Oryzias latipes: one gene and its partners. The protein of the gene in region 1 binds, or shares a complex with, the protein of each later gene. Links are inferred from orthologs where the notes say so. Each region holds a gene or a part of one and is shown in the gene's direction. Other genes may lie near its edges. The genes, in order: ap3d1, ADP-ribosylation factor 1, ap3s1, AP-3 complex subunit mu-1 and ap3b1.

Region 1 (5,910 bases):
ATGATCATATATATGGATATGATTTACTCTGAAAGGCTTAAGAAAAGCAGGATAGGGGCTCACCAAACACATTTGAGGTTGGTTGAAAGGAAAGAAGAATCACTTTCTTTACCAAACGGCCCAAAAAAATGATTTTCTTCATCTTTTGCTTTTTGTTGAGCCTTTTTCCTGAAGGGATCAGCACCGCTGCCTCCATCTAATCCCCCCCAAACACATTAAAATTAGTGCAAGGCATAAAGATTTTCATTTTGGGTGGTAATAATTTATCTTCTAAATATAAACCTGAAACCTTTCCTTGAAATAAAAGTGCGATTGGTCTATTTCAAGGTGCTTGACATCGACTTGAAACTGAACTGTTCTCACTTCTGTAGTCGATGCTTTGCTGGGGGGGGGGGGGGGGTCATGAATTATTTAGTCTGTGAGAAGAGACTGTGCAGTATTAGTATGATTACAAACATTCATTTGCTCTGTTTTCTTGTCAATTTCCTATTATTTTCTATTAGGGGTCCAGTCAGCTGCTGTTAATGTCATCTGTGAGCTGGCCCGTAGAAATCCCAAGAACTACCTTTCACTGGCCCCTCTTTTCTTCAAACTCATGACGTCTTCTACTAATAACTGGGTTCTCATTAAGATCATCAAGCTGGTAAGTTTTCCTCATGGGGAAATCTGCCTTTATAAGCTGAAAACTGGTCAAAAGTTTTCTGTTAGCTGCCGTTAGCTTCACAAAGAACTCTGGGTTATCAGAAATTAAGCATTTAGACACACAGGCAGGGAAAGTCTGCAGGAATTTGCATCCTTTTTTAGTTCAACAGAACGTTTATGTTGTCCAAAGACTTAGAGATTTCAAGTAATATCAGCCTAAAGTTTTCTTTAAAGTCCCACTCTGATCATATGTTGATCTTCTGTGAAAGTGTTTCCTTTTAGGCAAAATAGAAAACTTGTGTCGTTTTCTAGGACATAGTGACATAGTTCCTGCAGAGCGGCTGAAGTTCTTTTAGAAAGTCACCCGACTTGTGGGTGGGAATGTTGGCGAGGAGCAATTTTCGTCTGATTCACAACAATTTGAATATAGAAATACTCTCTATGAATATATAAATGCAGTTTTAAGATTAATTTTCTTTATTCAGTGGGGCCAAAAGTATTTATTCAGCCACCAATTGTGCAAGTTCTCCCACTTAAAAAAGATGAGAGAGGCCTGTAAGTTTTATCATAGGTAGACCTCAACTATGAGAGACTAAATCAGGGGGAAAATCACATTGTCTGATTTTTATTTATTTTATTTTTTTTTAAAGAATTTGTTTGAATATTATCGTTGAAAAATTAATTTGGTCAATAAAAAAAGTTCAACTCACTACTTTGTTATAACCCTTTGTTGACAATAACAGCAGTCAAGCGATTTGGACGTCTTCACAAACGGTGGCTGGTATTTTGGTCCATTCCTCCATGCAGATCTCCTCTACAGCAGTGATGTTTTGCGGCTGTTGCTGGGCAACACGGACTTTTAACTCCAGTGGGGTTGAGATCTGGAGACTGGCTAGGCCACTCCAGGACCTTGAAATGCTTCTTATGAAGCCACTCCTTGGTTACCCGGGCAACGTGTGTTTGGGATTGTTGTCATGCTGAAAGACTTAGCCATGGTTCATCTTCAATACTGATGGAAGGAGGTTTTCACTCAAAATCTGACCATACATGGCTTCATTCATTCTTCCCTTTACACGGATCAGTCGTCCTTGTCTCTTTGCTGAAAAACAGCCCAAAGCATGATGTTTCCACCCCCATGCTTTATAGTAGGTATGGTGTTCTTTGGATGCAACTCAGCATTCTTTCTCCTCCAAACAGTAGAGTTCTTACCAATAAGTTCTATTGTGGTTTCATCTGACCATAGGACATTCTCCCAATCCTCTTCTGGATCATCCAAATGCTCTCTAGCAGACTGTAGACGGTTCTGCACATGTACCAGGGGTTGACATAGCCCAGAAATTTGCACTGGCCCACAGGGCCAGTAGTTTTTGAAAGTTACTGGCCCGACACCGCGCACAGCGAGACCCGCCGCTCCGCAGGTGCTTGCAACTTTAGGGGGGTCTGGGGGCATGCCCCCCCGGAAAATTTTAATATGGTGCAATTTGGTGCATTCTGGTGACATCTAGCACTTATTTATACACTTTTCAATGACTAAAAATAGAGCATATCAAACTTAAATCTGCTCTAGTCTGTTTCAGATGTTTTGAAGAGAGCACTGCAGTGTAGTAGTTAACACTAGTTAAGAAGTTTTCATGCTGCTTCTAATCACTGCTATTTCACATTTGTTCCTAATCAATAGTTAAGAAGTTTTATTGACTTTTTTGCCCTGACTGCCTTAAGGTTCTGCTTTTTGTTACTGTTGCAAAGTTACATTTACTTTTTAGTTACTTTAGTTACCTAATTAAATTAAATAATTGAAAAATTAAATACAATTAAATTACTGAGATCATTCAGCTAACTAGAAATACTTACAGTGTTGTAAAGAAAAACAAAATTAAGTAGTTTGACCTTATACTCCATTTGAGTCTGAGATTCAGGTATTTTTAGTTGCCTTTGATTCTTTGACATTCAGCTTCAAGCTTAGTGCATACAGTTTCATCTTCAATGCATTCATTAAATATCTTGCTGTCCATAGCACTAATTCCACCCGTCACTCCATCTAACATATTCCTATCTATTCCTGCCATGTCTTCCGTCTCTCTTCAGTGACGGTGTTGGATTTATGATCATTGCGGTGAAAAACCACCAGGGGGCGCGCTGATATGTGTGTCAGTTTAAATATATCTGCCTAAAATGTAATATAACCCACTGGCTTGTTCCTTCGTTGTTGCTGTTTAACATTGTTTAGTATTGAATTGTTACATTCAATAAAGTTTGAAAAAAAAATTGAGTGAGCGCGTGCCGCGTGGTGCTCAGCAGTGACAGCCGCGCGCCCAGGGGGAGAGGAGGAGAAGAGTGATAAAAGGTTTCCCATAGAAACCCTTGAAGTCTGAACACAGGACTAGCAGAAAAAGTGAATTATAAAGACGAGGTAAATCTACACGTTTTCGCAAAATATACTTTATTGTAAAAGGTGAAAAATGTATTAATTGTTAGATATTTTAGTGGCCCGAGCGGACAAGTAAAAAATAAAGTCTTGTGGTCCGTACTGCTCGAAAAACAGGACCGGGCCAGCGGACAAATGGCTATGTCGAGCCCTGTGTACTGGCTTTAGCAGGGAGACACGTCTGGCCCTGCAGGGTTTGAGTCCCTGGTGGTGTAGTGATGTTTGTTACGTTGGTCCCAGCTCTCTGCAGGTCATTCACTAGGTCCCCCGTGGGGTTCTGGGATCTTTGCTCACCGTTCTTGTGATCATTTTGACCCCACGGGGTGAGAACTTGCAGAGAGATGGAGGGAGATTCTCAGTGGTCTCGTATGTCTTCCATTTAATAAAAATTGCTCCCACAGGTGATTTCTTCACACCAAGCTGCTCACCTGTTGAAGATTCAGTTTTCCCAGCCTGGTGCAGGTCAACAATTTGGTTTCTGGTGTCCTTAGACAGCTCTTTGGTCTTGGTCATAGTGGAGTGTGACTGTGTGAGGATATGGACAGGTGTCTTTCTATAGATAACCAGCTCAAACAGGAGTCATTAATACAGGTAACCAGTGGAGGACAGAGGATCCTCTACAGAAGAAGTTACAGGTCTGTGAGAGACAGAAATCTTGCTTGTTTGATGGAAAAAATACTTATTTTCCACAATAATTTACAAATAAATTCTTTACAAATCAGACAATGTGATTTTCTGGATTTTCTTTTCTCGTTTTGTCTCCCAAAGTTGAGGGTTACCTATGATTAAAATGACAGGGCTCTGTCATCTTTTTAAATGGGAAACTTACACAATTGGTGGCTGACTGAATATTTTTCCCCATTGTATATGTCCTCGATCATCAGAAAAAGGCGACAAGAACATGTAAAAAAAACACAATTTATATGGGAGTGGGTCTTCAAAAATGTTCAAGTTGAACCTGTTTTTTTGTTACCTGCACTCAGCTTCTTGAAGAAAGTCAGGGTCATCAGAGTGGAGTGGGAAATCTGCATTAATTAGTATAATTTTTTAGCACAGCAGAACATTTCTGTTGCTTCAAAGCCTTAGAATGATAGCAGAATGAAGGTAATTGATCACTATAATCATTGCAGTTTGGCGCGCTCACTCCGCTGGAGCCTCGGCTGGGGAAGAAGCTCATCGAACCTCTGACCAACCTGATCCACAGGTGAGCTCAAAGCATCAAAGCAATCCAGCAAAATGTATAGAAAGAGGTGTAATAATTAACCCTCCTGTCCCTTTTGCCTCCTTCCAGTACCTCCGCCATGTCTTTGCTGTATGAATGTGTTAACACCGTTATTGCAGGTCAGTACTGAGAACCATTTAGTAAATCATCCAGTCAGATTTTTATGTTTTATTGTTAAAAATGTTATTTGTTTACTTGCTTTTTTAATCAAAGTTTTCATAAACATTTATTTAGTCAAAAATAGATATATTTTTTAGGCTATTTACGCTTGAAGCCTCTTTTTTTTTCTGTCCTAAAACATGATTTCTTGTTGAAACTGTGACGCTTTTTGTGTTGCAGTGTTGATTTCTTTGTCCTCCGGGATGCCCAACCACAGTGCTAGTATCCAGGTAGGTTCCCCACGTTCTCGGCCATCATCAGATCATAACCCTTCCACTCCAGTCACTTTCTGCCGATGACGCTCCTTTAAACATCTAAACACCACAGAGAACTTTTCACTATTTGGTTCAGCCGGTTTTGTCGAACAGAAGAGCCGCTGGTGTGGAAAGGTTGACGGGGATGTTAATGCCTCTGGTTTTGTCTTCTGCTCTGCTTTCCTCCCACAGCTCTGTGTGCAGAAGCTGCGAATCCTTATCGAAGACTCGGACCAGAACTGTGAGCCCTCTGTCAATGCCTGCAGTGTGTCATTTTCTCATTGTCTGCGTGTTTCTGTCTATGGAACAGTCCACCCCTTTAGACGACATGGAATTAGATCCCCTGACCCCGGATAACTCGAACATTACCTCTTTTCTTCACGTAATCAGGAGACCTGCTGGAAAGCCATCATACTTACAGAGCATCTGCAAACATCCCACAGCAGTATGCTGGAGAAAAGGAAGACCTTTCATTTTAATTTGACGTTTCAGCAGCTTCCCAAATGTCTTAATCCAATGTCAGGTCTGGCTCTAAAAGTCCCAAAGACTTTTCTGTTTTCAGTCATTCGAGTTATCTGGACCTCCATGGTAGATGTGTGTGGAGTAGACTGCAGACGTCTGGTGTTGGTAGAGCAGATTAGAGACTTGTAGTTTCAAGCTTAGTTTGACTTGTAATCCTGTTTTTTGAGCTTCTGTTAGACATTTTTCTGCCCGTTTAATGCAAACCCAGTTTTGTACGGGTCTCGATTTAGTAACTTCAACTGAAGCAGGAATCTCACTGAACCTGTGAACACTAGCCGACTGCCTGGTGAGCGTCTGGTCACTAATGGGCAGTTTATCCACGGGTTAGAGGGCGAGCAAGATCCAAACCAGTTTTCCGTCTTTTAGTAAATAGAAATGATCAGACTGTAACTGGAAAACATGCAAATTTCAGAAATCCTGAGCACAAATCGTTGACTTTGGAAAGAGATCCAGTTGATGTGAGGGCAGCATTCTGCTTTAGCTGCTAACAAAAAGAAGAAACGGACTCAACTTTCTAAGGGATCGACACCTGAAGTATACTACCTTACATTTCTCTAAAGAAGAAAAACAAATGGATGGAAGTGGGAAGAATATCTGTAAAATGCTTTTTGGTAAAGTCAGGAGTTTTCTTTCCAAATATCTTGCAGTAAACATCTTTGCTATTTTAAGCCTGAGAGATGGCGCCT
Region 2 (4,704 bases), on another chromosome or scaffold:
GCTGGATGAGTTCAGATAAACGTATGAAAACGGAGACGTTTCAGCTCCACGTGGGCTTTTCTCTGCTTATTTGTAATATCTCTGTTCTGCACGTTTTGGTAGCTTTAGTGTTGATTTAAACGTTTAGTTAAAAATGTATTTTATCAGCCTTATCATCTGAGAACATTTTTAAAAGATTGAAAAAAATGACATTTAGAATGATTTAGTTTATGAATTTGTAATGAACAAAGATATTGACAATTAATGCTTTTAACAATGGAGATACTCTGTGGTAAACTTGAAATCCAATTAAAATGATAATTTATGACCTGTTTAATGTAACCTGGGGAGCCTTTCAGATCCGTGTCTGCCACTAAGCCTGTCCTCATTTGTGCAGGTTTTAACGTTGAAACGGTAGAATACAAGAACATCAGCTTCACGGTGTGGGATGTGGGCGGTCAGGACAAAATCAGGCCGCTGTGGCGCCACTACTTCCAGAACACTCAAGGTAAGGGCCGACTGTTGGAGCGCATTACTGCCTATAGGGGGCCTAACTTCTGCGCTGAAGATGATCTGAACGCTGCTGGACCGATGACTCATACTTTTGTTCAATTCTTCTAAGGGTTTATTGTTTGACTCCTCCTTTTTCCTGACATTAAAGTCGTCAGCAACTATTAGGGCTATTTGAGTTTTTCCTGCCTAGAAAATCAACAGTTGGTGTAACAGTTAGGTTTCAGAGACAAACCTCCACGTCTGGTTTTCCTCTCTATATTTCTCTGTCAGGGCTTTTCTTTTTTATTTTGTCAATTTTAATATAAAAACAAACGTTTTTAAGCTTTTGGGAACGACATCACCTTAAAAGTAGTCTATTTTCACCATGGCAACAAATCAGTGTTGTTGTTTTAGGCCCAAATCGTCACGCTTAGATCCTGGGATTAGACTATCTGAGTTAACGTAAGTCATTTGAAAACAGAAGAATACATGAAATATGATAACAGTGGTCACCTGGAAAAGGATCTCAGCCAATCAAGGCTTCGTTTATGTGTTGTGTGTGTGGACTGTGTATGTGCTTAGCTGTTGAAAATATCGCAGGTCTAGCATATATGGGACTAATTCTTGTCAACTGCAGTGAGCATCCAGAGAGGCTCTGGAAAACTCAGCAATCCTCACAGGTTCTGGGTTTCCCATGGAGTTAAACCCTCCTGGCTCAGTATGTGTGGAGTCTGTAACCGTTCATCCAGACTCTCCTGGAAAAAAAATACATACTTGCATGTCTGATAAGCTTTGTTGATTTATTTAAAATAGAACTACATTTATATAAATGAATGACATTTATTATTTACGTAGCAATTTACAAAAGTGCTGTACGATAAAGGACTGAAGAAAGTTTAAAACTAGGCAAATTAAGAACACAATTCATAAAATTACTAATGCAATAAAATACATAAAAGATCAAAGTAGTGCAATAATAATATGTTCAGATATTTGTGGAAAAAAGATCCGTTAAGTCTCGGGTCAGCTGGAGTGACTGAACGAAACATCGGACACCAGCACAGGGTTTGTGCCGAGCGGCAATCAGACCAAGAGAAACACGCTCACAAGGGAAGAATGCACCAGTATCTTTAAAATCACCTGTAGGGTCAGAATTAAGCAGTTCAACAGTGAACAGCACTAAAAAATGTGTGTGTTGTCAAAGTTACTGTTGTTTAGTCACAGAAAACGGGCAAATAAAGAAAGTTTGATTCAGGAACTGTCTTTTTAGCAGCTAACCAGTTCCAGTTTGATGGAACTGATTCTAGTTGACTTCTGATCGGCTTGAAAGCTGCGTCCAGGTAGACGTTTGGACTCCCACGGCTCGCTGTTCACAGAGCTTTTCCTCTCAAGGCTCTTTTCTACACTTCAACCTGCTGTTGTGCTGCCAAATGTTTTGTCTTCCATTTTTAGTCCTTCACTCCTGATGAAGACTTTTCCTTTTGCTACACTTACCACAGTGGGAAATAAAATAAACCCACTCTAATTTATCATGTGCTGATCATTTTGATCTATTTTTTTTATGACAAGTACTTTTTGTTTGTTTGTATATTATATCGGGTAAAAAATTACCCGGCAAAAGTGATGCTGCCATTTTTATAGCCAAAGTGGTCCACGGTTAACTAGTAATACCCGGTAACCTAGCAACGAGTTAAACTGGACGTTAAACATCCTGAAATATTTTTTAGAAGCAAAGCTTTTGACAGAATGTCAAAGATTCCCGACTGTAACTTTGAAGTGTCACAGCTGTCTGACTGTATCTCAGCCGCGTGACATTCACGTGTTTTATCACGACACTCGAAAGTCTGTTTCACCGCCGCCTTGTGGTCACAGTGGCGCATGACGTCCAAATGACAAAGGTTGAAGCAAACGCGTGTGTTAAACCCAAAGACTCCAGTTCAAGAGTTTCTATTGGATCCAGTCAAAGATTTCAGAAGTCCTCCAACATTTTATGTGTTCGTCTGTAGAAATAGCATCGTTACAAAGAGGCAACCTCCTCTTTCAAAGCCCAGCATAAAGGTTTTGTAATGCAGGTTCGATTCCTCTGTCTGGCTGTGTCTTTCTGAGCCGGTGGTCTCTGCCGCTTTCTTCGCAGGGCTCATTTTTGTGGTGGACAGCAACGACCGGGAGAGGGTGAACGAGGCCAGGGAGGAGCTGTCGAGAATGCTGGCGGAGGATGAACTAAGGGACGCCGTGCTGCTCGTGTTCGCAAACAAACAGGTGAGGCCGGACGTCTGCGGCGTCTTCTGTGGCGTGAAGAACAGGCGGTAGCCGCATCTCCATGTTTTCAGGATCATTGTTTTGAGGAGCGATGAAACCTGTTTGTTTGAACTAGGGCTGCACGATATGAGGAAAACTTGCGATATGCAATAGTAGAGATTAATATTGCGATAACGATATAATTTGCGGTATATAAAAAAAATAGAAAAATGCCAAAAACATCATTCCCATTTCATTAGAAACAGTTTAAAATTACACTCCAAATGACCCTCATCGACATAGGTGACAAACATCTAACATAATAGGCCTCCATCTGATTGGTCAACAATGGGAAGGCGTCCATCTGATTGGTCAAAGCATAAAGGGATTTATTTGATTCGTTAAAAGCGTCAAGCTGCCATAAGATTGCTTTAACACATTTTGGGTTTACGATTTATTGCGATATTCGCAGTCTTTTGCGATATGCCTATTGCAGAGCTGGATATTGCGATAACGATAAATTTGCGGTATATTGTGCAGGCCTAATTTGAACGAAGGCCATCTCTGATCAGGACCTTAGAGCAACAGTCAAGCAATTTAGTGAAAAAACTCTATTTAATGTGGGACATAACGTTCACTGCAGTAAACCCATAAAGGGGGGAATCTGGGCCAGCAGGTGTTGGCCAGAACCAGGTCCAGATGTGTTCTTGAGCGGAGCATTTGCTCCACCATTGCTGACGTTGTCCTGTCTTCATAGGATCTCCCCAACGCCATGAATGCTGCAGAGATCACAGACAAGCTGGGCTTGCACGCCCTCCGTCAGCGCAGCTGGTACATCCAGGCCACCTGCGCCACCAGCGGCGACGGCCTGTACGAGGGCCTAGACTGGCTCTCCAACCAGCTGAAGAACCAGAAATGATCCATTCCACCACTTTTGATTTTTGTTCTCTTTTTCTTTCCTTTTCCTGTTTCAACACGACGGCAGCACGGACCCAGGCCCCTCTGCCCCCCTGTCCCACCCGGTTTCCCGCCCTCGTGCTTTCCTTTAAGAACTTCCTTCATTCCCTCGCCCTGCTACCTTCTTCTGTCAGTACTCTAGGGGCTGTAGCCTGTGCTGCTTGTGTGTGCGTGTGTGTGTGTGTGTGTGTGACCTTGTGTGTTCAGAGTGTGTGGGTGTGAAGGCGCCTGTGTGCGTTGGCTGGGACTGGGAGTAACCCTGGCGTGCCTTTTACACACCTCCTGTGGAATCAGCAGTCTGGTTTTCAAGCCCTCTCTCCATCCACCAAGCTCCGCCTCCGCCCCACTCAGTCTTGCACGCCCCCCCCCCCCCCCCCCCGCTCTCAAGAGGAAGCATGGTTTTCACATGGCAAATGAAGCCCCCCCCCCAGTTAACTAGAAATCGTCCCCCGTTGTCGACCAAATGTCAGATGTTCCTTTGAAGCCGTTCGATTGAAAGAGATCCAGAGAACGGCATCTTAACCTGTATCAGGTCAAGTCACACAACTGTAAAAGTCTAGCAAAAGCCCCGCCCACCGCCATCCCGGTGCCATTTGAAAATCATGCTCTTTGTTTTATTATTATATTGGAATATATCATATTATTCTGGCTGTGGCTCTCCGGTGAACACTACCTTTCTCCCACCACCGAGACCGTCAAGCACAAAGCAAGGCAGCAAGTCCGAGTCCACGGTTGCAGATCTGGTCTTTTGGTAGTTGGCCTCTGATTCCCTGGATTAAACGACATTTTTGAGAAGCCCTTAAGTGTGATGTCTTATTGTGACGGCGTTCCGATTGGATCCCGCTGGTTTACCTGCTTTCTCTACCTGGTGTTGGCGTTTCTCAGACCGCTGAAGCAGTCCCACTAATGCAGCACACGGCTCCAGAACCTTCTAGCGCCTGAGCTGGCTCTTCAGCGGGTTTCTCCTCCTCTTCCTCACTGTTTGCTAGGTTTTTTTTTGCCTTTGCTATCCAACCGTAAATGTTTGTGGGATGAAGG
Region 3 (5,910 bases), on another chromosome or scaffold:
TAGATCACCTGACTCCGACTCAATTAAAGACTAGCAAAACCAACAAAAGTAGTTCAGGGTTCATGTGTGTGCTGCTGCAGCAGCCTCACTGCTGCGCTGGCTGGTGTCATGAAACTGTGAGGACGGCTAAAGCTGCAGGTCTCATGCCAAGTGTCACATGGTGTCTTTAGACTTGCAGGCATCTGCAGCGAGCACAGCTCTTTCTCCAGTGGTGAGCCAAAGGAGAAAATAATAGCTCATAAAGGCTTTGAGAGGACATTAGCAGCCGACGGCCTCACTGTTGAGTTTTCGAAATAAATATCACTTTAGCAATATATTCCCTGTAAGTTTATTTTGTGCTTTTATCTCCATTTTTATAATGTTATAAACCTTTTCAGAAGGTCAAACAGAAATGCCTTTAGCTCCTTTATTCATTGTGTCAGCTTGTCATAATTCCTGCTTTCTGTCTGACTGGATGATAACTGGTGATTTAAACAAGTTGCAGAAAAAACTCGAGTGACATGTTCTTTTTCCAGCTCGGTCTGGCTTTATGCAAATGAACAAGGTTTTATACATGAACAAGATTTATTTATTGTCTATTTTGTTGTTTATGTTGCCTATTTATCCATTTTATCTTGCAGAATGAAGACACGGAGCAGCAGATCATAAGGGAAACCTTCCACTTGGTCTCAAAAAGAGATGAAAACGTCTGCAATTTCTTAGAAGGAGGAATGTAAGTTCTGCGATGCCAGGATGTGGAAATGAAAAAGGAGCAAAGGAACATAATCTTCAAAATGCTGTTTTAAAAAAAAAGTTAAAGACCCACTCTGAGGATTTTTTTATGGTGTTTTAAATGTTATTGTAGCATTTTTCTAATGATGGACATATATTAAGATCATTGGGCGTAAAATTGTATCTTTGAGTATTTGTTAATTCAAATTGCTGTGAATCGGGAGCAGATGAAAAAGATGCTGTTTGAAAAAGATTGAACAGTTTTCTCCGCGTATTCGTGGAGGTTAGGGACCAGAGACTTCCGCCAATATGCTGCAATCTTAACTCATCAAAAACCCTTCTGAAACATTTCTGATACTCTGTGAAACATTTATTAAAGAACGTTGCTCAACATGGTTTTTTTAGTCATTCAGAGTAATAGACTGTACTGTAGCGTACTTTATAATGCACATTAGGAGTGCCAGTCTGTTTCTCTATGCCTAGAAAGCAGGAGCCCGTACTTCCTTAAGTGCCAAAGGGCATCTTCTTCCAGAAGAGGTTGGTTTCATCCATCATTCATTCATCCAGATGATAATTATACTTCCTCAGCGTATTAGGATATTTTCAAGCTGCTTTTGAGTCAGCTGATGCCATTGGGGCACAAACTTTGGTTATAGCGATTCTGGAACCAGCTGTTGCTCGCTGGGAAATATTCTTCCGCAGCCGGGGGGAGGCCGACTGGCCAGCTGGCTCTTCATCTCCCCGCTCCCCTCCTTAGAAATTCCCGCAGCACAAGTCTCATACAAGCATCTTGAGTTGTCTGAGCTTTTGTGACGAACCAGAGGAGTCACGTGATTAAAAAAAAAAAAAAAGGAATCTGCGAACACGTGAAACAGCGAATATTGAAACCCGAATTGGCGGAGGAACACTGTAGTTGTGATGTAGAAAATACGACTGCTCCACTTCATTCTGATGCATCCTCTTGTAGATGAATAGATCCATGTACATCTTTGTTTTCCTCGTCTGAGCTGTTATCTGGCTCAGAACTGGACATCTCCAATACTTCTCTCCCTTTGTTGTTGCACCGATCATGTTAGGTTGGGGTGAACTCCTGCCGCTCTGCTGAAACTATGTCCTAGAAAACGGCATAATCATAATGAAAAGACCACTCTCACTGGGAACGCTTTAACAACAGATTAAAAGATGATCAGAGTGGGTCTACAAGAATCTGAGTTGCAACGCTTTGCTTTGTTGGCTTAAAAGCTTTTTTCTTTTCTTGCTCTCTCTTTATAATAAAATGAAAAACTTCAGACAAATTATATAAACACTTAATAATAAATAAAAAAACATAGGTTTAGCAAACAAATACTCCAAAAAACACTGGATTTTCTCTTTAGTGAGTTCTCAAAAGTTACAAGTCTTTTTGTGAGAGAAGAAAACAGTTGAGGAGCTCTTGTCCAACCCAGTTACAAGCTTTATCTCTTCCCGTCTTATCTCCAGCTATTCGGATATATTGTGGGCAATCTTTATACGCCTGACTGAAAACATCCTGTTTTTTTTTGCTCCCTCAAAATTCTGTCGTAACATGTTTACGGTACCTTATTATACTAGGTTGGGCTTTTGATAAGAGTGTTTTTTTTTTCTGCTTGTTTTAAAGAATATTACCTATTTTATGCTCTTTTCCAAGAGATGGTGATAAAACCTGAAGAGAGTTTCAGGAAATGTGCCGTCAAGAATGTTTGCTAGATATTTTCCCTTCGCTGTCATCGTGTTCTTTCTGTGTTCCAGGCTGATCGGGGGTTCGGACTACAAGCTGATCTATAGACACTATGCCACGCTGTACTTTGTGTTTTGTGTCGACTCTTCAGAGAGCGAATTAGGCATTTTAGACTTAATCCAGGTAAAATAAATCGGACTTTCAGAAGAATGTATACTCTTTAGTTATCTTCTCTCTAACTGTTCCCTTTGTTTGTCAGGTATTTGTAGAAACGTTGGACAAATGCTTTGAAAACGTCTGTGAACTTGACTTAATTTTCCATGTAGACAAGGTAGGAAAATCTTTCACCTCTCTGTGATGTAACACGTTTATTAGACTGTTTGTTTCAGCCTACCAATCCCTTTGACCCTTTTTCTTTGTAATAATTTCCCGTAGTTATTATTGCCTGTTATTATCTGATGACTTTCTGTTTCGCAACTGCAGGAACTTTTGAGTCAACCATAAATACCATACCTGCTTTAGAGCCTCCACAAATAGAGAAACCTTTAAACCAAAATGAAGTTTAGCCTGTTTTCATTTTATTAAGGAAGTTTGAAAAAAAATGTGTTGTTTGAAACGAGCTGAAACTCAGGGAAGTCTTGTAGAAACTTTAAATGATTGATGATTTGTAATTTGGGTTTATTTCTGCAGGTCCACAATATTCTTGCTGAAATGGTGATGGGTGGAATGGTCTTAGAGACCAACATGAACGAAATCATCACACAGGTGGACGCCCAGAACAAGATGGAGAAAGCTGAGGTATGAGGTTATCTGTCACTTTGTTCTTTCCTCGGCCTCCCTGAGGAATGTTGCACAGTATGCAGGCATGTGTGTACGCTGCACTCTGCATGCTACTCTTGGTCACTCTGTGGATGCTCCCCACCTTCTCTCAAGTGTTTGTGCTCTTTTCTGGCCTCTTCTTTGACTGCTTCTATGCTCTCAACGCAGCTCAAACCTCAGTAGATCCTATACTCTAACCCAAATATACAAAAACAGATCAATTCACCTCCAGAATCAGTGACCATTAAATCCTCCTTACCATTGAATGACATTCAGCTACATACTCATCACGTTGAGGGGAAAGTTTGGAGATTTAGATTTTCTTTTCTTGAGCCGATATTTTCAAAGTCTTCGCTCAGATATCTGTGCTCTGCAAGTACATTTGTTTGTTTTCCATGCAGCTTCGGTCAGAAATCCGCTTTCATTTCTCTATTGGAAAGACAGACAGCCAGAGACAATTTCACTAAATGATGGTTTTCTTTTTCTACGCTCAGTGTGGATTAGAGCCTCTGATCGATAAACTGAGTCAAAAATATGTCCAAGCACGTTGTGTAATGTCTGCACATTCATTTTGCAAATACTTTATTTCCTGTTGAGAAACGACCCTTTACAAAATGTGTACCGTATTTTTCGGAGAATAGTTACATTTGATTTTTTATAAATCAACCGCTAGAGGGAACTGTAGGCAAGTGTGTCAGTATTTACTACTGACCGTAACACAGAAGAAACGCCGCTCAGTCTTACTCCGAGCTTGACAGATGAAGACTTTAAAGGATTTAGGGATTTAAAGTGATATAAAGGGTTTAGCTGACTTGTTGTCATGCTGCGGTTATCTTATTAATTGTTCATTTACTGCGATAATATACTAGAAACTTATTCAACTCCTCCTATGTTTTATGGAGCTAAATACGGTTATGGTAGTGAAGCGTGCACATATTCATTCTATTATTTGTTATCTCTTCCATTATTATGATTTGCCTTTCAAGATGAAATGTCCGATTTTGTTTCCGTATTTTGTTAAATAAATTCCTCCTAAAAGTGTGACTTATAGTCCAAAAAACACTGTTTTTTCTAAGCTTAAAGTCAATGTTTGTATTATTAGATTTTTTAGAGGCTGTTCAGCTGTGTGTGCTAACTGTAGAGTTGTAAAATCTGAGCTGCACTGTTTGTTTTAACCCGACAAAAGCTTCTTGTTGAACAGAAATTGTGTAAGGAGAGTTTTTTTTTACTGTTCTTGTATCATCGTAGCTGCTCTGTCTCTTCCCTTCTGGACCTATCGTAGGCCACAGAACGCTCAGAACCAGGCACTTTTCATAGAACAGTGTCTGTCAAGTCTCATCAATAACCAAAAAAATCCAATTTAGTGGCAGACGTCATATCTAATATTTACCTGAATCTTTCGTAGCAATGTGTTTGAACCAAAAGAAACTTCAGCATTGAGCGAAAGTATCAGCAATACGTTTGCAGATGTGGCATATGATGGGTCCTATCACTTTCTGTGGAGATAAAACTGTTATTACTTTAACCTGCTTTAACATTCCTCATTCCTCTTTTTTCCTGACCCTGTCCAGTTCTTTCCATTCTTCTCTCTCTTTACAGACGTTTATCTTTCAGTCTACCAGGCAGGACAGGTAGACACAGGTACTGCTAAATTTACAACCAAACACCCTAACTCTAACTTAGCTTCCCTTTGAGTCTCTCCTCATGCCCCCCACCCCCACCCCATGCAATTCTAGACGGATGCCACTAACAAGAAGAAGGAATCTTTCACAACAGACCCAAAAATATTACAGGTTCTCTCTAAAATCCAAAAATACAGGATAATACTCAGGCATTTGATTGTGCCAAACACAATAATCTTGATAAGAAATTCTAAACTGACATCCTGTAGATTAGTGTTAATGCTTTGTAGGCAGGAGCACTGCAAGATTTCATTTTAATGTCGGGTTAACCTTTTTAAATCTTATGAGTGAAGTATCCCCTCCTCACTGCCAGATCCAAAATGTATTTGTCCACATCAGATTAAGTTCTTTTTAAAATTTACATACAGGATAAAAAAAACCCAGTAAAAACTCAAAGTAATCAAGCTGAAATTGTTTTTCTCACTTTCCAGTGTCCTACTTTGAGGTGTCCTAATGTTTAGCTTATTGGACATTACATGTGCAGCAGAGTATCTTTCCTGTTGGCTCTCAACACAAATACTTTTTTTCTTTTTTCTTTTTTTTACAAATAAGCTGCTCAAACTGTTTTTAAAATCAAACATGCAGTTTTCTAAGCTTCCATGACGTGTTGCAAATTTTAGCTGCAACATGTTTGTCAAACACAATAACAGAAGAAGGTGGTCTTTATTTCAAACACTTACATTTTCTCACCACCAAGGGGCATTTTTTTTTCTCTCCATTTCATCTGATTTAAGTCCCACTCCGATCTATATATTTTAAAGGCGTTCCCAGATTATGATTAAATATTTTTTTAAATATGGGGTCATTTTCTAGTGTCTGCAGAGCTGCAGTAGTTCATTATAAATTGTCTTCTGAGTCGTTGACATGACCATTGGAGCAGAGCAATGCCGCTCCTCCTTCCCCTAAGAGCTCACAGCCCCTCACACACATATTGGAGCTATTTAGTTGTATAATTTTGAGCCAGATACCAGCTCGAATGAGCAAAATGGAGACGTACGTAGA
Region 4 (6,606 bases), on another chromosome or scaffold:
TACATCTTTTAGAAAAAACAGCTGCAACTTCCAGCTTTTTCTGCCACAATTATCACAAAAATGCGTGTAAGATTGCAGGGGGGGCTGTACATCAATACAGACTATAGAGTTTCTCCTTTTATTTTTGGATGCTGGTGTGCCGCGGGATTTTTATCAAGGTTAAAGTGTGCCGTGGCTCAAAAAAGTAACATTGCTTTAGACAGCATTACTGTCAAGAATACGGGGTTAAGCATTTAAAAAGTGAAATCCCATTTAAATGTATGTCATCTACATCATTTACTAAGAAAAAATACTTTGGAAGGGTGGCAGACGAGAACAGACGAATATTAGGCCAATACAATAAAATGATTAAAAACATTTTTTTCAAACAGTTTTAATAGTGTAATTAATTAAAACAAAAGTTCTTTTAGTTGAGGTGCCATTAATGATGCTTAGTGATTTCTTGATCTTAATGAAAGTTATGCTAATATTCATTCAAAAATTGAAGGGGGTGGGGGGCTTTTTGCTGGGGAGGTCGAAGCCCCCTCAAGTTCCGGCCCTGGCACGTAATTAACCCAGTTTGCGTGGGATTGCGCAAGCTGCCGCAAGACAGCAAGGTCTTGCCATTTAAGCTGCAATAGCACTAAAATACACACAATACAGCGATTTTAAGTGTAGAGAGAGAGAATCATACATTGAATTTCATTTATATCACAGTAGACTCGTTTTTGTTTTATTATTAGTGTGTTGCCAGGTGAAGAAGATGACCCTGCCCACCTTGCGCCCCATGACCGCTCATCCCTCTTATTCAGATAAGGAGTCGGCGCTTTCAAAACCTTACCGACAGCGTTGCAAAAGTGTTATCAAAACGTCTCCCAAAGAAAATAGTAGCGCCGTTATCTGCTACCGCTGCTGAATCCGCGGGTTAAATGTTAACATGCACGGAATCTACGCTGATCATTTCAGACTGCGACCTTCAGAAAGCCACTTAATAGTTTTAACTCACAGAAACTGTATCAAGCTGCATTTATTAATTGCATATTATGGTAAAACTTAAAATAAAATTGCCTTGTGGGTGCAATCAAGAACTACTAGGGGTCATGCTCCCACAGAAGTAGAATTGTTTTCTCGATCACCTGCTGTCACCTTAGTTCGGAGAGAGTCTCTTTGGTCGGAGAGTCTGCCTTCTTCTCCTTCTCTTCAACATCTGCAAGTTTAATCTTTTTAGCTTTGGGTTCATCGGACGCCATGGTGGTGCAAACACGTTGCTTCGTCTTCTTCTTCTTTGTTTATTCACGGTTGGCTCACAAATTTTAGGCGCATGTTCGCCACCTAGTGGTACGGACTGTGAATGTCGAGGGTCTAATCATATTTGTAGTATAAATCCATCTGTTTTAAGATATATTTCCTTTTTCCTTCCCCATAATTTCTCCATCTCAAAGTTTTCTAATAACCCTTTTTTACCTAAAACAACAACAACAACAACAACAACAGTAAATGTATAACTACAATCACTACTCCATATGCCATTTGTCTCCCATTTTATTTTCATCCTCAATAGTTGTACGCCCTTGTATTTGTTCAGTGTACTTCCTGCAATTTCATAATAAACGTTTCTATAGTCTGATACTCGTTGCACATTTTATAGTTAGATATTTTCCAATGATTGAATGATTGTAACTCAGTTGCATGTGGCCAAACCTGCATTCAAGTCTTTGACCCTTGCATCTAATTTTCACCATAACCCTTCCTCCTGCCTCCTCCTCCTAACTTTGATACCTTTTTTTTTCTTCAAAAATGTAAAAACAACATAAATAAAAGTAGCTATTTAATCTATAAAGCTGAGACAGATGATAGGTTTTAACTGCTGTTCTGTAGGTACTGGGTGTATATAATGTCTGATTTGAGCAATTAATTCAAAGGAATTTTGAGGTTTAAAGCCAAATGTAGTTTAATGAATGTAATATTTTGTTAATAAAATCAGGAAATGTAACCAATAAAATTGTGAAGTAACTTTTCATAATCAGTAAAACCATACAGGATCTGTTTTTCCATGTCAGGAAGAAATCGAGAAAAAATTGAGTCATTATATCATACTGACAATTACTTCCAAACTAATTTTTTGTGATCATAGGTCGAAATTAAATATATGAATGTTTCTTCACATTGTTTACAAAATCTACCCCCCCCCCATATTAATCCTTTTGTCTTTGCAATTATCTTTCGAAAATGCAGTCGTATCAAGGAAGTTTGTTGTTTTCCCTGGGTAGTGACTTGTAGGTAAGTTGTTGCTGCCATAGACAGTATGGTTCCTGCCCAACTCAGTTTAACGAGGAGCTGTAGTAGTTATAGGTGCTACTTTTTCTAATCATATACATACAATAAAATGGTGAATAAAACTTCGGAAACTTCCAAATACTGTCATTAATTGTGTTATACCATGGGGAAATGCGTACGTTTCACAACAGTACACGTTAAAATGCCATCAAAATACAAAAAATCATATTGAGTTTTCCAAATAGTTTTTCTTTAAAAATTTGTAATATTCTAACAAAACCTTTCCACACAATAATGCTGACATACAACAATGGATTAGCTATTTTAAAGAACACCGAAAACTGAATGGTCTGATGCGCGGCTTAGATCGTTGTCAAAGGTTGCCTGCAAAACTATACACCGGTTTTTTTAACCCACTGACTGACAACAATGAGAGCAAAACAGCTGTCCTCTGATTTTGCCTGATTAAAAATAAACCCACTAACTTTAAATAAAAAAATGGAGGGGAAGAATATTACACTTTATTAGATTATCGTGAATGCCACTTCAATAGCGTAAATATACCCGTTTTTCAACTATTAGTCTAGTAGCACAATTCAGTTCTTTCTGCTTACGTGTGCACATAGCTGTAGGCGTCCCCTGAGATGCCTATGAGATATACTTCCATATTGGCACCAACTGAGTATTCTTCCCTGTAGTTGAATCGAGTTTTTTCTTTTTTTAAAGCAAGTGATCTACAGCTAAAACTTTGTAAAAGCTGTAAAAATATTTCGCACTTTACATGTTGGTCTTCCTCTGACAGGATTAACGATAAGTTGGTAAGTATGATTCATATTTTTCTTTCTGTTATCTCACTCAGCACAATAAACTTTTAACTTTTCAGATAATATTTCAAAAGTCTTTTCATTTTTTTTATTTTTTACAAACTGTTTAGTTTAAGTTATTTGAATCATGTGACCGACATTGTGTAGTTATCGTGTGCCATCTGGTCTAAGAGAACCAACTCAAACAACAACGTTTCCTTCTGCAGCTGAGATGATCGACAGTCTGTTCCTGATTAACCACTCAGGAGACATTTTCCTGGAGAAACACTGGAAGAGTGTTATCAGCCGGAGTGTTTGTGATTACTTTTTCGAAGCTAAGGAAAAAGCAGTAGACCCAGAAAATGTGGCCCCTGTCCTGCAGACCCCACACCACTATCTCATCAGTATATACAGGGACAAGATCTTCTTCCTGTCTGCCATCCAGACTGAAGTGCCTCCACTTTTTGTCATCGAGTTCCTGCACAGAGTTGGAGATACATTCTTGGTAGTATTGATTTCTTACCTGAATGTCTTCTTTGTGATAAGTGTGTGCCAGATCTTAAGTGCTTCTAGTCAAGCTCTAGGAATAAGTTTCCTTCTTGCTGCACTTTCATGTAAGTATATAATATATATTAAAGATATAACTAAAAAGTCCTTTATAAGACATTCTTTGAGGCATTAGTTTGGCCAAATATAAGAATTTCAGCAGCAACCTTAACCTTGACTGCAGTTAGTATTTTGTGCTGACTTAAACCAGGGATCGTCTTTGGAATTATCATTTAAACCAATAAAAAAGTATTTTTATTTCAGACTCGAAGTGTAAATGTCAACACCATTAAAAAGAAACACAAGACATACAAAATAATTAAAATACAAGTGAATACACCAATTATAAACCTAATAAAGTGGCCAAACCAGTACCTCCAAATTGGGGACTGGTAATGCAAAGTGCTGTGCCTGATGTTGGTTAGGGTTAAAATGATTTTATTCTTGGAAGCGTTAAAGACGTTGTATAAAACCATAAATAAGATTACTTAAAAGAGCTTGGAGAGTGTTGACTCATATATCATACGTCTTTTTAATAAAATCCCATTATATACCCCATGCAGGCTAAATGGCTATGGAAGGATTTGTTAATACACGATAAAGATATTTTACTTTGTGACTTATGTTTTATTTTGTCTAAACTAAACTGTGTTTATGACGGAAATTGTCATGGGGCACTGTAAGAAATGTTGCTGAATGGGTTTCATGTTAAAAAAAGGAAGAATTGTCAGATTTCAGTTAATAGTAAATGTACCATGTGTACATGCAGGTATGGTGACAAAGCAGAAAAGGAAAAACACAAAAAATATCTTTGAAAATATTAAATTGATAGTTTTGTGTGCTTTAATGCAAATTAAAGGGATTTTATTAAATCTGCGATCCAAAGTAATATCAAAAGGCTCTTCAAGTGCTTAGAAGTACAGCACTCTCAATTGTGCTACACTCTTTCTAATAGAACACAGAACTTACGTTATTGCCCATATTGGTCTGCTGACGCTGCTCAAAGGGACAGCCACTGTTGTCCTTTCAGTAACATTTTTTTTTTTTTTTTGCAGGATTACTTTGGAGAATGTTCAGAAACTGTAATCAAGGATAATGTAGTGATTGTTTACGAGCTATTGGAGGAGATGCTCGACAACGGATTTCCGCTCGCCACCGAGTCCAATGTCCTCAAGGAGATGATAAAGCCTCCCAACATTCTGCGGTCAGTCGTCAATACACTAACAGGTAAACAAACGTCACAAGGAACATTGTGAACTTCTGGCTCTTTAAGTCACACTGAAGGGCAGCGTTAACATTACATTTCATTTGTTTTTTCCAGGAGGTAGCAATGTTGGAAACACTTTGCCAACAGGTCAGCTGTCTAATGTTCCATGGAGAAGGGCTGGTGTCAAGTACACAAACAATGAGGCATATTTTGATGTGATCGAAGAAATTGATGCAATTCTCGATAAATCAGGTACTTGAAAAGAAGAGAAGAATAAAGCAGTTGGTGGGAAATGCAGTTAAATGCACAGTAATACCGGTGACTTTGTTTACTGAACAGGGACAACAGTATTTGCAGAGATCCAGGGGGTCATTGAAGCTTGTGTGAGGCTTACCGGGATGCCGGATCTCACTTTGTCCTTCATGGTGGGCTCATTTCCCCCCATATCTGTATTTAGATCATCTGTGCACTTTTGTTCAAGTCTAAATTTTGCTCATTATTGATGTATTATTGACAGAATCCTCGTCTCCTGGATGATGTGAGCTTTCATCCCTGCGTGAGGTTCAAACGCTGGGAGTCGGAACGGGTTTTGTCTTTCATCCCTCCAGATGGAAACTTCACTCTCATGTCATATCAAGTCAGCTCTCAGAAGTAAGTGATTCATGGGGAGAGCAATGGGGTGACTAGGGCTGGCTATGGATTATGAGGAGGACTGCATATATGAAGATGTCATCCTATCCTCAGGTTATAAAAATTCAGAGCTGGATAAAAGTTTTCAACCACAAAGAAAATTACTTTCAATATACAGTTTAGCCTCTTAAAGCATAGTTTAAATTGGAGGTTGTTGCAATTAAATTTTGGCATAACTCTGTTCCTTTGTCATTTCTATGATTTTTCATAAACTTTATTTATAGTCAATTAAGGGTTTCATGTTGCAGAAAAACAACATTTTCTGTAAAAAATAAAATACAAATGCATGAACTTCAGTTTCAGAAGTATGATTTATAAATACTTTTGCTGTACTGTAAACTATGGAACCATGGTTGACTCATGTTTCAAAATAAAAGTCAGTACCGGAAATTCTTTTTCATTTTCTCAATAAAGCAGCGTCTGTTGACTCCATGATAAAATGAATAATCAATACGCCAAACAGCTTTTTTCATTTTCTATCTAAACACCGCTTATTCTGTGACGTAGTTAAAGCGATAATAAAAAGGGGGGAGTGCATTTTCATTTTTTCAATGATCAAATTAGATGTTTCTAATTGAAATTTGGATACCCATTTACTGGGGAACATTTTGAAATTGAAATGTGTTGAAGAAGAAAAACAAAGAGCCATTTGGCGGATTGATTGATTTTTCATTTTATTTTTGAGTCCTCGTACCCAGCTTTATTGTGAAAATGAAAAAGCATTTCCGGTAAAGACTTTCATTTTGAAATATGAGACACATGCTGCCATATAATAAATGGTTTATTTTACTCTCCTTTTTCATCTTAGCAGAGAATAATACTATAGTTCTATTGAGGGAATTTACCTAGACTGCCTTCGTGGCTGTTTTTCTCCTCAGTCTTGTTGCCATCCCGGTGTATGTAAAGCAGAACATCAGTTTCTTGGAGGCTGGATCTTGTGGTCGTCTGGATATCACCATCGGGCCCAAGCAGACCATGGGGAAAACGGTGGAGGGCTTGATGGTCACAGTCCACATGCCTAAAGCTGTGCTCACTGTTAACCTCACAGCCACACAGGGGACCCACACTTACGATCTTGCCACTAAGGTAGAAGACCTTTGTGTG
Region 5 (6,677 bases), on another chromosome or scaffold:
TTAGAATTTAATATTAAAACATCACATGTTACATTTTTAAGTGTGAAATTGTGTTTATTGTTGATCTAATTGTAAAAACTGAAGCCTCAGTTGATCCTTTTAAATCTTTAATTTTCACTTCAGGAAGATGCCACTAGGTGGCGACAAATCACCAGTTAAGACTTCTTTCGTCCTTCAATTCATATTTTGATGATTAGCTGCCAGAAAAGGCACTGTTCCTGCTATGATTCTGATTCTAATCCTGCTGTTATCTCACTGTTCAGCAGGAAATACGTTTACTTTGAAATTCACCTCAGCCTCTTTAAACTTCTCCACAGTTGCTGGTTTGAAACCTTTCTAACATTGGTCTTTTGTTTGGCAGAGTTTCAAGTTGTTTGAAAATAGACCTTTAAACTGTCTCACATGACTGGTCAGGGGGTCGGGGTCATAGTTGTTTTTTTCACTTTGATTTTTTTAAGCTAAGGGAAGAAAAAGCTCTCGTCTGTTAGCAGAAGACTGTTGAAGCTCATGTCAGAAATGCAGTTTCCTGCACTGAAAAGTCACAGCAGAAAACTCTACAATAAAAGCTCTTTTTGCCTCAATAATCTCTTTTTTTGTTTTTGTTATCAGGAATTTTAATTTCTTATTGTGGAGATTTGTTCTCTTGGATGTATGTTTGTATGTGTTATAACCTTTGTGTGGATGTTCTTGATGGGTTTTCATAGGAAAAAAAAGGCAAATAAAGATCAGAATTAAGTCTAGAAAGTCCATCAAATTTCTTCTCAGTTTGCTCATACTTTAAACGAAGATGGCCTACAATGAGATGACAAATATTGACAAAAATCTTTTTTCTTTCTTTCTGACATTTGTTGGGTGAAGTTTTGGCAAAGGGCGGTATTACGAGTCTCTAAAAGCCAATGTCTGCTTTTACTCCATTTTGGAATTGGGTTTTGTTTAAAGAAATTATTCTTAACAAGGAAAATGTTGAGGTTTTTTCAGTTTGTCTATGTTATGATTGTTTTTATAAAAATTAACAACAAATAAAGTTATCACAGATCAGATCAAGCAAAGGTCAGGAAAATGTTTTTAAAGTGTTTGGATGAGAAAGTTCAGTCACTTATTGGTTTTAATCATCTCATGTTTTCTTCTTTGCTTCTTTTTATGGTATCTTCTTATTTTGGGTAATACTGCCCTCCAATGAGCAGCTCTTGTAATTGTGCATCATTTGCTTCAATGGGCCTTTATAAAGCTTTTCTTAAACCTTTCAAAGTAAACTACATCTATATATATTATATATTCATAAATACAACATAAATTCCGGACTATAGAGCGCACCGGATTACAAGCCGCATCCTTTACGTTTTAAGCTAATTTATACACACATACAAGCCGCATGCGCCCACGTTTAAACATTTGTAGTGTCCGTTCTGCACGTCTCCAACAGTCTCAGAGAGGAAGAAGCAAACACAGATTCCATATTCTCCTTTCCAGCATTACAGCCTAATTATTTGACCACAAGCACAAACAGCCAAACAGCATGGAAGTCACTTCTGCTCACAGCCTCCTCAGTCATGGTGAGGAACTTTACACCCACGATTCCCCACTGCTTGGAGAGCAGGTTTTGGAGCGAAAAACTCAGAAAATACGTGAACGAATCAAAATGTCGCTTTGGGGTTGTTTTTTGTGAGCATTTAACATTATAATACACTGAAATACTCAAAAAGTAGATTTTTCAGGATATAGACCCTTTAAAGACTTGCTCTGATGAAAATGATATTTTCAGCGTTTTTTTTCACATATTTTTGTGGCAAATATCTGATGATAGAGGACACATACAAAGAAAATTAAAATGAAATGAGAAATTTCTATATTTAAATCTATGTGAATCAGTAGAAGACAAAAAAAATGCTGTAAAAAGATTCTAAGTGTGACGTAGAAGTTAGTGCAGCGAGCTCTCTGCTCCATTCCGATGCATCCACTTGTAGCTGCGTAGATCCGTGCACTTCTTCGTTTTCCTCGTCTGAGCCGGAATCTGGACAGCTGGATGGCCCCGATATTGCACGCCATTTTTGTTGCAGCGCTTATGTTAGGATGGGTGTGTGAGGGGTTGTGAGCTATTGGTAGAGCGTTTAAACCAGTAGTCCCGTGATGAGCTCTGCTGCCCTGCAGAAACTACGTCCCAGTGACACAAGTGTTTGTTGATTTTGTCTAAATGCGGCATAATCATTCTCATGAAAACCACTGAGAATGCTTTGAAAATAGATCAAAGGATGATCCGAGTTGGACTTTAATTGATTTTCGAGGGTTTTTATAGTTTATCGACAAACTCACACCGATGCATAAGCTGCAATAATCTTATTTTTTCCACTCGTTACACAGTTGTTCTTTCTTTGAGTCAGATTGTTAGAAGAATGTGTCTGAATTCCCTCTTTCACATCAAGAATGTGACGAATTGCACAGTGAGTAGACTGTAGGGTCACGAGAACTGGACGGCATTAAAAACTGGATAAACTTTCCCCCAGAAGACACGTCTCCTCACAGAGCGGGAAGGAGAAACCTGTGCCGTGGAAATCGACCTGTGAGTCAGTGAGGGTTGGTGTGGGGGTCAAACAAACCCTCCAGAGGAAGTGGAAGGAGGCAGGTTTTTCTGCTCCTGTTTCCTTACATTATTCCCACTACCTTTTATCTCCTGATGGAGGCCTGTCCTGCCCGCCTCTTCAGCCAAACCAGGCTTGGTATGCGCTTAGTGATTGCGCAGAGGTGGTGATGAAAAGTGGCTCCATGTTTACCCACCGGAGGAGATAAGGGCCTCCTTTTTCCCCTGGAGGGAAGTGACCACAGTCACATGTCCAGGCAGGGAGGGAGGAAGGGAGGGACGCAGGTAAGGAAGCCGGATCTCCAGAGCAGGAGGAACATCTGAATGAGCGTAGTCCAGCTGAGAGAAGGAGGTGTTGCCCTCGGGGATCAGGATGACTTGCTGTTTGTGAGTTGACAGGGTATCTTGTGACTTTTTTTTTTTTTTTTTTTTGGCAGAAGAGGAAGGGAGGAAGTGAATGACACAAATCACAGTGCAGCCTGTGCAGTTTTTGTCCTTAGTTCCCAGTTTTGAGCAGCTGTGATTGATTCGAGAAAGCGCTGGGGGAAGACGAGCTGAGCTTTCCATCCGTGGACTTCCAGCCAGCTCTTGCAGGAGAGTCGCTGCGGGGACGGCGGCTGGTATGGACCGCGGCTTCCCTTCTTTACGGTCTGAGGCGGCTGGAGCCGTCAGGACAATGCTGGCTTCTGCCGAGAGCTTACAGCTCACTCTGAAGCCTGAGCTCAGTCAGGAAGAGCAGGCCCTCACACACACCAACGGCAAACCAAAGGAGACGCACAAAGCCGGGTATTGCAGTATTTTCCTGAATGTACGAGTACTAACATCTATGCAAGCTTCTCTGCCAGAATCGTTTTCTGATAAATGAACCACGATATTGATGATTCTGGTGTGTTACTGTTTCCCTGGTGCCTTTTGGCTTAGACAGAACTGCCCTTGGGGTGGAAATGGGCTGAGAGTGAGCGAAAAATGATGCCACACAGGTGAAATGTCAAGGTCGTAGACCGATCGGTAAGGCTGTAGAGCAAAAATGTTCGTGTGCATTTTGTTTCTAAGGGGTGTGCTGCGGTAACGGGTCATAGAGAACATTTATATACCCCATAAGAGCTGCTATGGGGGAAATCGGCCGTTTGTTTGACCCCCACCAAACTTGTGCGCTGCACAAGTCGCCTGTTAGTGCTGTTCACGCAATAAGTGCGCGCTCTTTGTCCGCCTCCTCCAGTTTTGCCCATTTTTGGCTCGCAGACGGTCTCAGTCTAACCATAAGGGCAGCTGTGACTAAAACTTTTTAAATCACACCTGTATATGAAGCCACTTATTCTGCATCTTCGCCATGGCTGCTGTTTAGGACTCTACAGAGTCAATTCCATGGATGGGCAACCTGCGGCCCGTTATACTATTTAATTTATTAAATTATGCTGATAATCCTTATTAATGTTTTATTTTCCCTGCAATTCCCCATAGATGGTGGAGTACAAATATATTTACCTTTTGTTTTATCTGCAGGAAGTTGTGCTGCATCATGTAGTGTTGGCAGATTTGTTGTATTTCTGACGTTCACGTGTGTTTTTTGAGTCCGAAATGTAAATTCCAATGCCACACGAACGCAGCATTTCTCTAAGTTTGCATTTTTCTTTGAGGGACATCAACCCATTGGTGCATTTGAGACTAAAATGTGAACAAAAGCCACAAATTGTGTCTGTGTGTGTGTGGGGGGGGGCTATTAGCTATGTTTTTTAACATAGCTAATAATTTTCAATCAAAATTATTAGCTATGTTTTTTAACATAGCTAATAATTTTCAATCAAAATTACACCATGTTTTTGTCCAGATTCAATGTTTTTTTGTTTGGACACCCCTTGGAAAACTTTTTTCTAAAGACAGCCAGATTCGGGATACTTTGGGATACTTTGAGATACTTTTTATTTCCCCACATAGAACAGAAATGTCTTTAAATACATTTTTACCAAAATTACTTTCATATTTGAAAACAGGAAATAGAATAAAGAGAGAGTCTGGTTATTAAAGCCTTTTGTCAACATTAAATCTGGGTTCATATGAAGTGGTAAGCATTAGTCACTATTAAGTGCTCAATGTTCTGAATTTAAATCACGTAAAAAGCTAAATAACACAAATAGTTAACTTATTCAGAAGCACAAACCACTGCTTTCGATCATAGAATCAAATGAATCAGTTTGGCCCTTAAGGCTCTGAATGTCAAGTCGCCCCAGGTTTACAATAGTGTGGAGCGTAATTTAGCCAGAAGAAAGTGCCGGAGGGGCCCGCATATTATAGATCTTATGACAGGAGACTGTGGGCCGGTAGAAATTTGAACGAGGGCCGCATTTGGCCCCCGGGCCGGACTTTGGACATGCCCGTCAGGTGGATTACCTAAAAGCGCCACGCATCTGCTCCTGTCAAATTTTAGAACCCTTTAGTCAAAAAGTTCCCCCACCCCTGGTGGGCCTCGGAGAAACGAGGGGGTTGGAACACGGCCACTAAGGCCACCGTACACCTGGAGATGTGATGGTCACCTGTCATTTGAATGAAAAACTGTGATAACATAACTGAGAAATGTTATGCCTCAAACAAATATAGGTCTGGATGAAGTTGTCTGTGTCATAAAAATGTCATTCCGTGCTCTTGAGCAAAGCCATAAGCTGCTGTTGAAGGCATTCAGTGTCTCCTGAAGAACGAGCGCGATGTAATGCCTTAACAGAGGAGATGGTGAAGCTGTTGGGCAGGAACTCCCCGTTGCAGTCATTGTTCATTGTACCGTCCAGAGAACGGTCAAAACTGATGAGAATGTTGTCCAACCGGTTAAAACCAGAAGTGTTTGTCTGTCCTCAGGAATGAAGACCTGAAAGAGATGCTGGAGAGCAACAAGGAGTCCCTCAAACTGGAGGCCATGAAGAGGGTTGTTGGGGTGAGTGCATCATGGGAGGAAACTGATGGAACAAATGCACTGGAGCCCTGGAATGTCCTGGAATGCATGGAGACAACATTTTTTCTACATTAGAAGTCCCTGAACTCTTAATCCCTAAAACAGTTTGTGATTTGTCTTCTAAACATTTCATTAAACACTGCAAAAACTGATTTTCAACAGCAACACAATCTTTAAGAAAATATGTCTTAGATTTTTTTTCCTTAGAATGCGAATTTTCAGTGATTTTTCTTAACCCCCCCCCCTTTTAAAAAAAAAAGAATGTTTCACTTATTTCTAGGGGGCCTGTTTTCGCAGTGCATTATTTCTAACAGCTCCTTTAGGATTTGTGTTATAAAACCAGATTAAATCTGAAATTGCCAATATCTGCTCTGTCTTTTTGTTTTAAAATTTCATTTTAGCTCATCTCTAAAGGGAAAAATGCATCCGAGTTGTTTCCAGCTGTTGTGAAGAACGTTGCGAGTAAGAACATCGAGGTAAGAGAAATACTTCCTTACTGTGACACAACATGCGGTGAATGACTATGTGTGGGATTTCCTCTTCTATGGTTGACTGTAGGGACTGATGTCATTCAGAGGCTTTTGTTGGTTCAGTTTGTGTGTATTTGACAAATCGATTTTAGCGATTAATTTGAATTTGTTGATCTAGAAGATAAATTTTTGAGAAAAACAAGACTTTATTTCCCCAGCATTCTGGTTTCTTGTGCTTCCGTTGTTCGGAGTCAGGTTAGCCTGCACGCTTCTCGCAAGGGCCAGACATGAAAAAAGCATCTAGGAAAGAGGAGCTACTTCCACCAGGCTGAGAGGAAAAAATAAAAATAAAAAGCTTTTTCCTTTTATTGACTGTATTAAGAGAACTGGACTGAGTGATCCCTCCTCACTGGCCTTCCAAACAGGAAGTACCTCCTTCTCATAGACTTCTATAGAGAAATAACATCTTCTTTTAATCCTCATTTATTTTCACAATATTTTTTCTTTATCAACAGTTATTCAAGTTATAAACTGACCAATCAGATGCCTCAATTAAAGTAGGTGGAGCTCCCTGGATGTGGTGTGGATTTTGAACAAGCCCACTCCTGGTTGACAACAGTAGTTGCCGTAGAAACGTTGACTCAGACCGACTCTGACCAATCTCTGTTGTCTGGCTCTAACATGGCGGCCT

Evidence for each region.
Region 2: the proteins of ap3d1 (region 1) and ADP-ribosylation factor 1 are in contact, whole or in part, in a cryo-EM structure (PDB 9C5B), measured with the Homo sapiens proteins. The link is inferred for Oryzias latipes from reciprocal best matches to the Homo sapiens genes AP3D1 and ARF1. Residues at the interface, in NP_003929.4 of Homo sapiens: Lys48, Asp50, Phe77, Ile80, Glu81, Ser84, Asp107, Met110, Leu111, Thr112, Thr113, Asn114, Gln115, Arg117, Lys118; in NP_001019397.1 of Homo sapiens: Tyr35, Ile46, Pro47, Thr48, Ile49, Gly50, Phe51, Asn52, Val53, Glu54, Trp66, Lys73, Ile74, Leu77, His80, Tyr81, Gln83, Asn84.
Region 3: the proteins of ap3d1 (region 1) and ap3s1 are in contact, whole or in part, in a cryo-EM structure (PDB 9C5C), measured with the Homo sapiens proteins. The link is inferred for Oryzias latipes from reciprocal best matches to the Homo sapiens genes AP3D1 and AP3S1. Residues at the interface, in NP_003929.4 of Homo sapiens: Leu18, Gln19, Val22, Arg26, Cys60, Thr63, Tyr64, Gln66, Met67, Leu68, Gly69, Tyr70, Asp71, Ile72, Ser73, Lys87, Phe88, Thr89, Arg92, Ile93, Leu96, Gln100, His103, Tyr126, Leu132, Thr133, Ser136, Tyr161, Lys164, Lys165; in NP_001275.1 of Homo sapiens: Met1, Lys13, Pro14, Arg15, Leu16, Ser17, Lys18, Phe19, Pro22, Tyr23, Glu25, Asp26, Gln28, Gln29, Arg42, Asp43, Glu44, Asn45, Val46, Cys47, Asn48, Phe49, Ser80, Glu81, Ser82, Glu83, Leu84, Gly85, Leu87, Asp88.
Region 4: the proteins of ap3d1 (region 1) and AP-3 complex subunit mu-1 are in contact, whole or in part, in a cryo-EM structure (PDB 9C5C), measured with the Homo sapiens proteins. The link is inferred for Oryzias latipes from reciprocal best matches to the Homo sapiens genes AP3D1 and AP3M1. Residues at the interface, in NP_003929.4 of Homo sapiens: Lys29, Glu388, Gly389, Thr390, Thr391, Arg393, Glu429, Arg432; in NP_001307192.1 of Homo sapiens: Ser25, Ser27, Asp30, Tyr31, Glu34, Pro52, Asp104.
Region 5: the proteins of ap3d1 (region 1) and ap3b1 are in contact, whole or in part, in a cryo-EM structure (PDB 9C5C), measured with the Homo sapiens proteins. The link is inferred for Oryzias latipes from reciprocal best matches to the Homo sapiens genes AP3D1 and AP3B1. Residues at the interface, in NP_003929.4 of Homo sapiens: Lys352, Leu442, Ile446, Ser471, Tyr483, Trp487, Glu491, His517, Ala520, Val521, Gln524, Asn525, Lys528, Val561, Gln562, Ser563, Ala564, Leu566, Glu567, Gln569, Glu570, Arg571, Ser573, Cys574, Gln577, Leu578, His581, Ile582, Leu585, Lys588; in NP_003655.3 of Homo sapiens: Asn75, Lys466, Lys467, Gln470, Val494, Ala497, Ser498, Trp501, Leu531, Leu534, Gln535, Asn538, Lys542, Asn567, Tyr568, Asp569, Asp572, Arg573, Arg575, Phe576, Ile577, Gln579, Leu580, Lys586, Gly588, Ala589, Leu590, Ser591, Tyr593, Lys596.

What each region holds. Positions count from the first base shown.
Region 1 is NC_019862.2:30,493,345-30,499,254, reverse strand, and holds part of ap3d1 (AP-3 complex subunit delta-1), read left to right. Parts: intron 1-503; coding exon 504-643; intron 644-4,197; coding exon 4,198-4,271; intron 4,272-4,358; coding exon 4,359-4,408; intron 4,409-4,628; coding exon 4,629-4,678; intron 4,679-4,894; coding exon 4,895-4,943; intron 4,944-5,910. UniProt on the Homo sapiens protein: Part of the AP-3 complex, an adaptor-related complex which is not clathrin-associated. The complex is associated with the Golgi region as well as more peripheral structures.
Region 2 is NC_019877.2:22,744,123-22,748,826, reverse strand, and holds part of ADP-ribosylation factor 1, read left to right. Parts: intron 1-376; coding exon 377-487; intron 488-2,605; coding exon 2,606-2,730; intron 2,731-3,466; coding exon 3,467-3,628; 3' UTR 3,629-4,704. UniProt on the Homo sapiens protein: Small GTPase involved in protein trafficking between different compartments. Modulates vesicle budding and uncoating within the Golgi complex. In its GTP-bound form, triggers the recruitment of coatomer proteins to the Golgi membrane.
Region 3 is NC_019867.2:7,077,023-7,082,932, forward strand, and holds part of ap3s1 (AP-3 complex subunit sigma-1), read left to right. Parts: intron 1-620; coding exon 621-712; intron 713-2,478; coding exon 2,479-2,590; intron 2,591-2,666; coding exon 2,667-2,738; intron 2,739-3,097; coding exon 3,098-3,205; intron 3,206-4,825; coding exon of another isoform or gene 4,826-4,861; exon of another isoform or gene 4,862-4,867; intron 4,868-5,910. UniProt on the Homo sapiens protein: Part of the AP-3 complex, an adaptor-related complex which is not clathrin-associated. The complex is associated with the Golgi region as well as more peripheral structures.
Region 4 is NC_019873.2:23,928,099-23,934,704, reverse strand, and holds the start of AP-3 complex subunit mu-1, read left to right. Parts: upstream 1-2,883; 5' UTR 2,884-3,074; intron 3,075-3,286; 5' UTR 3,287-3,291; coding exon 3,292-3,564; intron 3,565-4,660; coding exon 4,661-4,832; intron 4,833-4,926; coding exon 4,927-5,064; intron 5,065-5,151; coding exon 5,152-5,237; intron 5,238-5,329; coding exon 5,330-5,463; intron 5,464-6,380; coding exon 6,381-6,588; intron 6,589-6,606. Other genes in the region: adenosine kinase, read right to left, coding at 1,126-1,229. UniProt on the Homo sapiens protein: Part of the AP-3 complex, an adaptor-related complex which is not clathrin-associated. The complex is associated with the Golgi region as well as more peripheral structures.
Region 5 is NC_019870.2:3,663,926-3,670,602, reverse strand, and holds the start of ap3b1 (AP-3 complex subunit beta-1), read left to right. Parts: upstream 1-2,870; 5' UTR 2,871-3,197; coding exon 3,198-3,361; intron 3,362-5,422; coding exon 5,423-5,498; intron 5,499-5,917; coding exon 5,918-5,992; intron 5,993-6,677. UniProt on the Homo sapiens protein: Subunit of non-clathrin- and clathrin-associated adaptor protein complex 3 (AP-3) that plays a role in protein sorting in the late-Golgi/trans-Golgi network (TGN) and/or endosomes.